2 linked regions of the Macaca fascicularis genome follow. The protein of the gene in region 1 interacts with the protein of each later gene in a pairwise test. Links are inferred from orthologs where the notes say so. Each region holds a gene or a part of one and is shown in the gene's direction. Other genes may lie near its edges.

Region 1 (5,914 bases):
TGCCTGCCTAATTTTTTGTATTTTTAGTAGAGACAGGGTTTCACCATGTTGGCTAGGCTGGTTTCGAACTCCTCGCCTCAGGTGATACACCTACCTTGGCCTCCCAAAGTGTTGGGATTACAGGCGTGAGCCACTGCGCCTGGCCTAAAATAACTTTTTAAACTTATGGAAATACATGTTCATGTGTAAAAAGAAAACTTGGGAAATACAAAAACAAAATACAAAACAAAAGTATGAACAACAGGAAAACATTACTCATAATCTTCAGAGTTACTTTTGGGGGGCAGTGGTATAATTGGAATCATTCTTATAATGTAGACCTTGCTATTTTAAAACCATAGTGTATTTTCCAGTGTCATTACAAATACTTCATAAACACAATTTTTTTAGTGGATTTAAAATACTGTTATATACTATGTCAAAACTTGATTGACCTTTCACTCCTTGAATGTTGGGCATTTGGGTTTCCATATTTTCACTATTTATAATGCTGCACTAAATATCCCTTTAGATACAAATTTTTATCTGCATTTTAGATTATTTCTTTAGGATAGATTCCTAGAAGGAGAATAATTGGGTCAAAGGGTAAGCATGATTTTAAGACATTTTGATTCCTTTTGTCAAATGCTTTCTGGATACATTTGACCTGTTTGCCGTGCTGGGCAGTCCTTTCATGCACTGGAATAGCCCTTCTAAATTCTCCTATCTTAGCTCGATGGAACTAAGTACAGGATCCTTCTGGGGTCTGACCTTGGGGCAGTGGCTCAGGGCCTTCTGAGTGCAGACCACTACGCTCAGCCTGTGGATGGGGATTGTTAGAACTCCTCCTGACTAGAGGGACAGTCATGGTGGAATACAGCTGACATTCACCATTGTGTCATCCTAGAGTCACAGTTGAGGATGGATGGACCTTCCTTAAGCTGGAAATGACCCTGAGGCAGGAGCTGCTTTAAGACCAAGTGAGCTCCTTGAGAGAGCTGGGTCTGTTTGAGCCCACCCAGAGATGATAGAAAAAAAAAAAAAAAAGAGCTGGGTCGAAGTTGTATTTATATACACTGTAAACATCCACAGGAGTAGGGCCTCAGTGAAAATCTGATGGGAGAACGAATGGGGAACCTTCATGTGGACTCAGTGGGAGTATTATGTGTCAAGTTCAGAGAAGACACAGCTGAAATGGAGACAGAGATTCAGGATCTGTCAAATCCAGAGGACACAGCTGGGGTAGGAGGTTTCTGCTGAACTAGAAACAGCTGCTGCTCCTGAAGAGCTCATCATCCCCTAGAAATGACAGGCATAGGAAGCAGACCTCTGAGAATGCTATGTAATTCCCTGTATGCCAGATCCTGGAAGCACTGACACTAGGCAGGCTTAAAAGAGATGTGATCTCACAGCAGGCAGCTCTAGGATGAGTTAGTAGATTGGTACTTGGGATTAGGGCATTTTCTGTTGAAGGGATACCACTTGCCTGTGGGCACCTCAAGGATAGGTACCTGGTCAAGTTGTTCTGTGTCCCCAGAGTCTAGCACAGTCCTCAGTGCCGAGCAAGCACCTGCAGAAAGAGTTGGCAGGAAGGGATGTGTGGATGAGTTCAGAGCAGAGTGTGTGGATGGGTGCTTGATTTCTATCTCCATCTCTCCAGCTGGAAGATTTGGAAGTTACTGTAGCTGATCACATTCAAAAGGTCATGAAACTGAACTTCGAAGCAGCCTGGGATGAGGTAGGGGATGAATTTGAGAAGGAGGAAACATTCACCTTGTCTACCATCAAGACACTTGAAGGTAAAATCCTGGGAATGCCACCTCTGGCCTACTTGCCGTTCAAGATCTTTGGGTACTGTTGAAGTGCTTATACCTTTTCTCTCCAAGGATCCAGGGCCATGTCTGGGGCACATATGTCAAATGCCATTTCATTAAAAGCCCTTCAGAACATGGGGGAGTGGTGGTGGCACAAAGGGCAGACAAGATGGCTTAACAATATTGGGATTTCTCACTATAGAGGCTGTGGGTAATATTGTGAAGTTCTTGGGAATGCACCCTTGTGAGAGGTCAGACAAAGTGCCGGATAACAAGAATACCCACACGTTGCTTCTGGCTGGTAAGTGGCATTTCCAGGTGGGGAGGGCCTGGATAGCTTACAGCCTGGATGTCCACTGGATCCTGGGCTAAGGACTTAACTGTAAATACGGGGAGTCAAAATTCACAGCATTTAAAATTCGCAAACTATAAAATAATCTGCAGCGAAATGTTTCCACCTTACCTTGGCTGCCAGCCATTGAGATTCCCTTCCAAGAAACGACCAGTGTTACTATTACAAACAATGCCTGTATAACCTTGCAGTTATTTTATTGCTATAAAGGAACACATTTCCTTTTTTTAACTCAAATGTTTATGTACAAATGGTATATTGTCCTGCAATTTGCTTTTCACTTTACGATGCATCTTAAGAGATCTTTCCTGCCAATATGTAGAGCTTCCTCATTCTTTTTCTTTTAATTGTGGTAAAATATACATAAAATTCACCATTTCAGCCATTTTCAAGTGTGTGGTTCAGCGGCATTAAGTACATTCACACTATTGTAAAACTATGACCACTATCCATCTCCAGAACTTTTTTCATCCCAAACTGAATCCTTTTTTTTTTTTTTTTTTTTTTTTTTATAGCTGCTTAGTATTCCATTGTGTGGATGCACCACATATTCTGTGGAACAGCCGCTACTGATGAACATTTAGTTTGATTTCAATCTGTTGCTATTACAGATGTTACAGTAAATAATCGTGTACACACACACACAATTTACTTTGCATGTGTACACTGAGAATATCTGTAGGATAAATTTTCCAAGGCATCACCAGGTCAAAGTGATTTGTGTTTCTCATCTTGATAAATAACTCCAAGTTGCCTTTCATAGAATTGTATACCTTTTTTCCTACACTGTGGACAACACAATATGTTACCACACTTTATGATCTTTGCCAGTCTGTGTGGACAATGATATCTTAGTGTAGTTTTTGTATTTTCATTGAAGTTAAGTATCTTCTCAAATGTTGAGGCATTTGTATTTCCTTTTCTGATCACTGTCTTCATATCCTTTGTCTTATTTTCTACAGGGTTGGCTGAGTGTACCTGCACTCATTCTCCTTCCCAGATTACTTACTAGCAAACTCCAGAAATAGCATTTTATATGTAAATTCTTCTGTATCTTTATGTTTCTCTAAGAGATAATGACCCCTGCCCTTTTTTAAAGGACAATACAATTATCATACCTAAAACAGTTAACAAAAGGAAATGGGATGATTTTTTTTTGGCTAAGTGTTTATAAACAGGGTTGAAAGGAGGCTCTGCTTCAGTACCCTGTCTACAGCTGACAGTTTGTAGCCACATTGAAACAACCCAGTCCCCTGGGTCTTGCAGACACCTGCCCTGTGGTTTTCTCGTGGTGGGGCTGTCCCCTTCATTTGTGCTGTCAGATTCAGCCAACATGCAAGAGCCTATGTGACGTCAGATACGAGCCTTTTATGTCCATCAATTCATTTGAACTTAGCAGAAGCCTGAATATGGTATTATCATCCCCGCCATTTTGTAGTTGAGGATACTGAAGCCCAGAGAGACAGTGACTTTTTTTTTTTTTTTTGAGACGGAGTCTAGCTGTGTCACCCAGGTTGGAGTGCAGTGGCACAATCTCTGCTCACTGCAACCTCCGCCTCCCGGGTTCAAGTGATTCTCCTGCCTCAGCCTCCCGAGTAGCTGGGATTTCAGGCGCCCACCACCATGCCCAGCTAATTTTTGTATTTTTAGTAGAGATGGGGTTTCACTGTGTTGGCCAGGCTGGTCTCAAACTCCTGACCTCATGATCCACCCACCTCGGCCCCCCAAAGTGCTGGAATTACAAGTGTGAGCCACCGTGCCCAGCCGAGAGTCAGTGACTTTCACAGTGAAATCCCTCACTCAGGGATTTCAGCCCAGCTCTCCTGCCCATTTCACTATACCACAGCTGTCTTGATGGGCTGCTGCAAATGCCATCCTTAGCCTGCCCTGTACAATCCCTTCTGCTGTATATACCTGTACTTCTGTCTTCCCTTCTAGGTGTGTTCCGGGGTGGTCATGACATCCTGGTGCGTTCCCGGCTGCTGCTTTTGGACACAGTGACAATGCAGGTGACAGCCAGAAGTTTGGAGGAGCTGCCAGTAGACATCATCTTGGCATCTGTGGGATAAGCAGCCAGCCTGCATAGGACCTTATGCCCTTCCCCCCCAACACTACCTGGAAGTTGTGCCTTCCTCATGAAACTGGCGGAAACCCCTTCCCAAGCTTCTGTATTCAAAAACAATTAGGAATCATTGCAGATTTTTTTTTTTATTCTGCCCTTACCCCCCACCCGGGACTACTTGGGGGTGCCTTTTTTTTTTTTTTTTTTTTTTAATAGGGAATGATTTTAGCTTGTCCTAAATCTTGCTATCCTTCCTTCCAGGAAAGGGACATTGTAAATGAATAAAACATTCTCGACTCCTCTTGAATTTATCCCCCAAGAAACCATCTTATCCCTCTAATAAATCAGCATGTATTTATTGAATGATTGCTACACCTTCCCCTTCAAGGCCTCCCCCAAGAGGCAGAACACGTGCCCTGTCCCCCTTGTACCCACAGCCCTTTGGCTGTTTTAATCCTGTGAGGCAGGACCCTCTCCCCGTCATCGCTGTCCCAGCACCAAGCCCAGGGGTGGGAGCGGTACAGGTTAGTTGAGTGAATCAGCTAACAGGCACTGAGTTCCCACTCCCTCCCACTCGTGCTTCTTCGCAACGCATCCTCCTCTGGTAGTCGATAAACGGAGGCTCCAAAGGGCTTGGGTCCTGTGGCCGTTCCAGCATCAGGTCCTATGTGGAGTGTGCCCTGGGGTTTCTGCTACCTGTTCAGCGAATCAGCATAGGCGAAGAACAGCCCTCTAGAGTATTCTCTGTTGGTTGCAGATAAAGAAATCTCCGGTTTAGGTCCCAAGGGGAGCAGGCTTTTAAACTCAAGCCAGGTTATTTTACCAACTTTGAGAACAAAGTACACCCGTAAGGACTGTTTTAAAAATTTGGGCCTCACCCTTAGAGATTCAGCTGGCGGGCTGGGGTGCGGGGACAGAAAAGGCTCATTCTAGTGTACACCATCGTTTGAGGGCTAAGTGCGCGATTCCTGAAAGTTCTCCAGACTTCCATTTATTCAGTGTTCCTCCATTTTTGCCTCGCACTGTGAGGCGGCTGGCACGACTGTGAAGTAAGGAGTGGAGTTTCCTGGTTTCCCGCCTTCGATGACCCTGTGCCCTAGACTCAGGGCGGCGGGAACCTTCCCCGCCGGCGGCCCTGAGGCGCGCTGGGGGCGGGGAGGAAGGTTAACCCCGCCAGGGAACGGCCAATATGGAAGAAAGTGGAGTCCCGAGAAGCTTGGGATGGATGCATTCCCCAAGGCAGTCACTGTCTCCTGGGGAAACGAGAAAAGATTCATCCCAAACCGGAAGGGAGAAGACGCCGCCTCCGGTGCCCGAGGGCGCAGAGAGAACCAAGGGCCCCCTCCCCCAGGGGGCGGGGCCTAGCGCCGGGAGCGCGGGCTGAGGCGGGGCTGACGTGCGGGGCGGTGAGGCGAGCGGCCAGAAGGGAGCTGAGAAGCGGTGAGGAGAGCCAAAGGAGGTGACGCGAGCTGAGGGAGGTGAAGCGTGCTGCCGGGGCGAGGTGAGGGGAGGGAAGGCGACGCGGGCGGCCGGGGTGTGGGGAGGGGAGAGGAGGGGTAAGGACGCGACGCGGGTTGACAGAGGGGAGCGGAGGCCCGAGCGGACGCGAGGCGACGCGGAGAGGGCGGCCTGGGCCGAAGTGAGGCAACTCGGGGCGGTGGAGTCTGAGGGCCGGAGCGGAGGGGAGGGGCGAGGGATTGCGGCCGG
Region 2 (5,907 bases), on another chromosome or scaffold:
TCGGCCTCCCAAAGTGCTGGGATTATAGGCGTGAGCCACTGTGCCCGGCTGAGCCTGGGAGTTTGAGGCTGCAGTGAACTATGATCACACCACTATACTCCAGCCTGCCTGGGTGACAGAGCAAGACCCTGTCTCAAAAAAAAAAAAAAAGAAAAGTCACATTCATTCGTTCTCACAGGGCTCAAAGTCTGGGCGGGGAGAAGGAACACTTGTAAACAAACTAGTAAAGGCTGGGAATGGTTCACGCCTGTATCCCAACACTCTGGGAAGCTGAGGTGGGAGGATCACTTGAGCCTAGGAGTTCAAGACCACCATGGGCAACATAGTGAGACCTTGATCACCCTCTGCCTCCCCCTCCCCCTCCCCTTCTGCCTCCTCCTCCTTCTCTTCCATTCTTTTTCTTCTTCTTCTTTTTTTTTTTTTTTTCTTTTTTGAAACAGGTTCTCACTCCCATTGCCCAGGCTGGAGCACGGTGGCATGATCATGGCTCTGCAGCCTTGAACCCCCAGGCTCAGGTGATTCTCCCACCTCAGGCTTCTGAGTAGCTAGGACTACAGGTGCACACCACCCTACCTGGCTAATTTCTTTGTAGTTTTAGTAGAGACCAGGTCTTACCATGTTGCCCAGGCTGGTCTTGAACTCCTGGGCTCAAGCCATCTGCCCACCTCAGCCTCCCAAAGTGCTGAGTTTACAGGTGTGAGCCACTGAGCCCAGCCTTGAGACCTTGTTTCTACAAAAATAAAAATAAAAACAAAATGATCTGGGAGTGGCTGCATGCACCAGTGGTCCCAGCTACTCGGGAGACTGAGATGGGAGGATTGCCTGAGCCCAGAAGGTTGAGGCTGACATGAGCCGAGATCGAGCCACTGCACTCCAGCCTGGGCAACAGAGTGAGACCATGTCTCAAACAAGCAAAATTAGTAAAAATAATGTTTAGAGATTGAGAAAAGTGCAATGAAAGGAAGAAATAGGAACTGAGATAGAGAATGTGACAGGAGAGACCGATCAAGTCAGATATGGTGGCTGTCAGGAGGACCTTTTGGTAATGATATTTCAGCAGAGGCTTGAAGATAAGAAGGCTTGATGCATTCAGTGAGGAAAACCCCATTCTGTAACCATCTAGGGTAAGTGACTGTGGTCCACAACATAAGAGGGCTTGAAGAGAAGAATAGGGAAGAAATTTTGAGTCAAAAATCTGGGTTCTATTCCCAGTCAACTAGCTGTATGGTCTTGAAAAGGTGACACAACCTCTGAGTCTCTCTTTCCTTAAAATGAGGGTCCATTATGCCTACCTCACAGGTGTGGGCTATATTAGATAACGTATGTGAAGGTGTCAAATGTAAAATACATGCACAGTGTTTTTACCAGTAAATGCATACGTACCACTAACATACATATCACTGGGGTGTGAATTTTCCACTTGCCAGCATATCCTGAAATGAGAGCTTGTCTTTGGTACACTTAGACAAAACCAAAACATGCTGCAAAGCCCAATGTCATTGGTGGAGCATTTGTGCTGCTGGGCGTCTGTCTTGCTTTTGATGGTGCCATATCTGTGTCTTAGGAGAGCCTGGGGAGGTGTCTCCGCGGCCATGGTTCCCTTCTGCAGGTAGTGAGAGAGGAATGGGAAAGCCTCTTCACAGAGGAGTGTCCCCAGAACTGTCCTCATGTGCTCTTGCTTATAGACCCTGTCCCGGAGATCTAAAGGGTGATCTGACATATTTGTCCCCATGGTACCTACCAGAGGTCAACAGACAAAAGTGGGCTTTGCTTGTGTTTGCTGCTGGCCCCAGGACAGCCTACAGACACCGGTGCACACCAAAGCCACAGGCCGGAGAGCAGGCAGAAAGCAGGACGAGGACTGGTCTTGGGGCACCCTGAAGATGCAGAGTTCGGGGCTGTAAGGGACTCGGGAAGGAGCCAAGGAGAGAGGGAAAGGAGAGGTGGGGGAAGAAGAGCTGGGGTGAGGGCGGGAGGGGAGAGCGGGGAGAACTAGCAAGAGAACGGGGCCCCGAGGAAAGGAAGGCCACGCGCGAGAGGGGGCCACGGGGCGGGCGCGGAGGCGGGGCGGCGGCGGCGGGCAGGAGGCGGGCGGCGCTGTCAGTGCGAGGCGGCGAGCGGAATGCAGCGGCCCGAGGCCTGGCCACGTCCACACCCGGGGGAGGGGGCCGCGGCGGCCCAGGCCGGGGGCCCGGCGCCGCCTGCTCGAGCCAGGGAGCCCTCGGGGCTGCGGGTACGGAGCGGGCGGGAGCGGGGGTCCCGGGCGGCGGGAGCTGGGCCGGGACGGTGCAGGATTGAGGGGAGCAGCCAACTCAGAACTCGCGCGCCCAGCGGCTGGGAACTTTGTGTCACCCCTGACCGGCCCCAGGACCCGGGAGGAAAAGTTCGTCCCGGCGCCAACCGGCGAGGAGGCCTGTCCTGAGTCCGTCGGCGCGGGGCTGAAGTTCTGGGTCCGTTTGGAGCGGGGGGTGGCGGGTGAGTTGCGATTCCGCGGGGAGGGTAAGGAGTGGCCTGTCCGTCCCAGACTCGCCTCCCATCACCGGTGGGTGATGGGCATGCTGCTGAAGTCCACCCGGGCCAGGGCCAGGGCCTGGGGGCGGGCTGAGAGCGCAGGTCCAGCCCGGCCAGGGATCAGCTGGAAGGAGGAGGCTCGGCCCGCTGTCCCCCCCGGCCCAGGTTCTGTGATACACTCCGACTCGGGCTCTGGAGCAGTCAGTGCATGACAGAACTTGGGCCCGGAAGGACCTTCTGCACCCAACGGGCACAGCGCCCACTCGGGGCCTGCAGTGGAACATCTGCCTGGGAGTGGAGTGGGCACCTGGGTTGGCCCATGTGGCACAGGGTTGGGCAGAACCAGCTGTGGACCTTGAGGGCTGGGGTTGCTGAAGCCTGAGGGTGTATCCTAGGGCCAGCAGATCCCATAGAGACAGGGTGTCCACCTTGAGCCAGGGGCCAAACAGAACTCTCCTCCCCGGTGTCAGTTGCAGGAACCTTCCCTCTACACCATCAAGGCTGTTTTCATCCTAGATAATGACGGGCGCCGGCTGCTGGCCAAGGTAACCTCTGACCCCACCTGTGAGGGACACAGTTCCCATCCAGCTGACACTCCTGTCTCAGGAGAAACTCCACTGTGGTCTCTGTGACTCAGGGCAGCTCAGCTTAGACCCCTCCAGAAGTCCTTCTCATCCTCCTGCCTTGTCAAGGTGCTGCTCCCTGAAGTGAGGGGTCTCCCCTGTTTCTACTCATGTTCCCTGAAGTGTTTCCTCGTCATCGGTACTGGCCAGCTGGACCTGGGCATGGGAAGTTTCTGCCTAATGGATCAGTGGAGTGTTGAGCCTGGGACCCAGGAGTCTTAGTCCCCAAACCCCTACACAAGCTCTTTTGTTCTTTGGGGTTTGTCTCTAAACCTCCTCAAAACCTCCACTTTTGTTCTACAGCTTGGTAAACACTAAGGATTTAGCCTAAGGAGTCTAAGGATTTAGAACCAGATGGGATTTTAGAGACTGTGTAATACAACTCTTTAATTTCATAGATGAAGAAAATGAGGTGTAGAGAAGCTAAGTGAATTGCCTGAGGTCACAAGTATTAATATCCTAACAGATCCAAACTCATATTTTATTTATTTACTTATTTAATTTTTTCACTTCTCCCATTTCACAGGTTTCACAGGCAAACTCAGGTTTTTTTACATTAAGCTCAAGGTGGTTTTCACTGTACCCCCATTCAATTATCTGTTATCTATCCTAGCAAACACGGCCTAAAATAATCCAAAAATAAATTTCTGCTGTCAACACAATTAATTGTAGTGGAACTACAGCATCTGCATTAGCTATGAAATGCATTATAAGGCCGGGCGCAATGGCTCACACCTGTAATCCCAACACTTTGGGAGGCCGAGGTGGGCAGATCACTCGAGGTCAGGAGTTCAAAACCAGCCTGGCCAACATGGTGAAACCCTGTCTCTACTAAATATACAAAAAATTAGCTGGGCATGGTGGTGGGCGCCTGTAGTTACAGCTACTCAAGAGGCTGAGGCAGGAGAATTGCTTGAACCTGGGAGGCGAAGGTTGCAGTGAGCCAAGATCACGCCATTGCACTCCAGCCTGGGCAACAAGAGAGAAACTCTGTCTCAAAAAGAAAAAGAAAAGAAATGCATTATAAGGCCAGGCGCAGTGGCTGATGCCTGTAATCCCAGCACTTTGGGAGGCTGAGACGGGTGGACTGCTTGAGCCCAGGAGTGCCAGACCAGCCTGGGCAACATGGCAAACCCCATCTCTACAAAAAAAAGTATGAAAATTAGCTGGGCGTGGTGGTGTGCGCCTGTAGTCCCAGCGCTCGGGGGGGCTAAAGTGGGAAGATCGCCTGAGCCTGGGAGGTTGAGGCTGCAGTGAGCCATGATCGAGCTACTGCCCTCCAATCTGGGTTATAGAGTGAGACCCCATCTCAAAAAATAGATTTCCTGTTTGTTTGTTTGTTTGTTTGGAGCTGAAACTTTTCTGTTTTTATGACATTCAGATAAGCAGCGGCCAGTAGGGAGCTGGCTAATCTGCCTGCAGATTGAGTACTAAGTGGCAAAATCCACATCCAGAAAATTGAAAACTGAGCTGACCACACCTTGCCCCAGCAGATGGTCAGAGGTGGATCAGCAAGGCCAAAGGCTCTTGCTCCCTACAGATTAAGAAACTAAGAGAAAGAGGCTCACCATTCCCAAACAAAAAAACATTAATTTAGTTATGGGATATGTGCGAGGGATTGTTTCTTAGATATTTAATCTTCACTATAACCCTGTCTGCAGTCAGACCGTCCTTACTGCTCAAACCCAGCTTTGGCCTCACAACTGTGAGATGTTGGGGAAGTTACCTGACTTCTTTTTTTGTTTTGTTTGTTTGTTTGTTTGTTTTGTTTTCTTGAGACAGAGTCTCACTCTGCTGCCCAGACTGGAGTTCAGTGACGCGATCTCGACTCACTGCAACCTCTGCCTCCCGGGTTCAAGTGATTCTCCTGCCTCAGCCTCCCAAGTAGCAGGGATTACAGGCGCCCACCACCATACCCGGCTAATTTTTTTTTTTTTTTTTTTGAGACAGAGTCTTGCTCTGTCACCCAGGCTGGAGTGCAGTGGCGTGATCTCGGCTCACTGCAAGCTCCGCCTCCCGGATTCACGCCATTCTCCTGCCTCAGCCTCCCTCGTAGCTGGGACTACAGGCGCCTGCCAGCACGCCCAGCTAATTTTTTTGTATTTTTAGTAGAGACAGGGTTTCACCGTGTTAGCCAGGATGGTCTCGATCTTCTAACCTCGTGATCCGCCCGCCTCGGCCTCCCAAAGTGCTGGGATTACAGGCGTGAGCCACCGCGCCCTGCCATTTTTTTTTTTTTTGTATATTTAGTGGAGACGGGTTTTCACCATGTTAGCAAAGCTGGTCTTGAACGCCTGACCTCAGGTGATCCATCTGCCTTGGCCTCCCAAAGTGCTGGGATTACAGGCATGAGCCACCATGCCCGGCCGTTACCTGACTTCTTGATGCCCCAGTTTCCCCATCTGTGTAATGGGGATAATAAAGTAGCTGTTGTTATTATCATTATTATTGTTTAAGAAGGTGTGCTGGTTTTGCCATCTTTCCTGTAGACTCCAGGTGCTGTAGAATTAGTGTGCGCTAGTGACCATGCTAATCCTTAGCACCCTGCACATCTGCTGAATGTACAAGATCCTCCAAGAAACCAGAGGGGACTCCAAAAGCAGGCCTCAATATCCCTCTACTTTTTGGGACTTTCTTTGCTCAGAATTTCTTTTGGAGGGGGCGGAGCATGGTGGCTCACGCCTGTAATCCCAGCACTTTGGGAGGCCAAGGCAGGTGGATCACCTGATGTCGGGAGTTCGAGACCAGCCAGACCAACATGGAGAAACCCCGT

Evidence for each region. The genes of interacting proteins can lie anywhere in the genome.
Region 2: the proteins of COPG1 (region 1) and COPZ2 interact in a two-hybrid assay, tested with the Homo sapiens proteins (2 studies listed by BioGRID). The link is inferred for Macaca fascicularis from reciprocal best matches to the Homo sapiens genes COPG1 and COPZ2.

What each region holds. Positions count from the first base shown.
Region 1 is NC_088376.1:154,146,479-154,152,392, reverse strand, and holds the end of COPG1 (coatomer subunit gamma-1), read left to right. Parts: intron 1-1,639; coding exon 1,640-1,778; intron 1,779-1,995; coding exon 1,996-2,094; intron 2,095-4,083; coding exon 4,084-4,214; 3' UTR 4,215-4,570; downstream 4,571-5,914. UniProt on the Homo sapiens protein: The coatomer is a cytosolic protein complex that binds to dilysine motifs and reversibly associates with Golgi non-clathrin-coated vesicles, which further mediate biosynthetic protein transport from the ER, via the Golgi up to the trans Golgi network.
Region 2 is NC_088390.1:58,692,509-58,698,415, forward strand, and holds the start of COPZ2 (coatomer subunit zeta-2), read left to right. Parts: upstream 1-2,102; 5' UTR 2,103-2,122; coding exon 2,123-2,233; intron 2,234-2,377; exon of another isoform or gene 2,378-2,475; intron 2,476-2,981; coding exon 2,982-3,056; intron 3,057-5,907. UniProt on the Homo sapiens protein: The coatomer is a cytosolic protein complex that binds to dilysine motifs and reversibly associates with Golgi non-clathrin-coated vesicles, which further mediate biosynthetic protein transport from the ER, via the Golgi up to the trans Golgi network.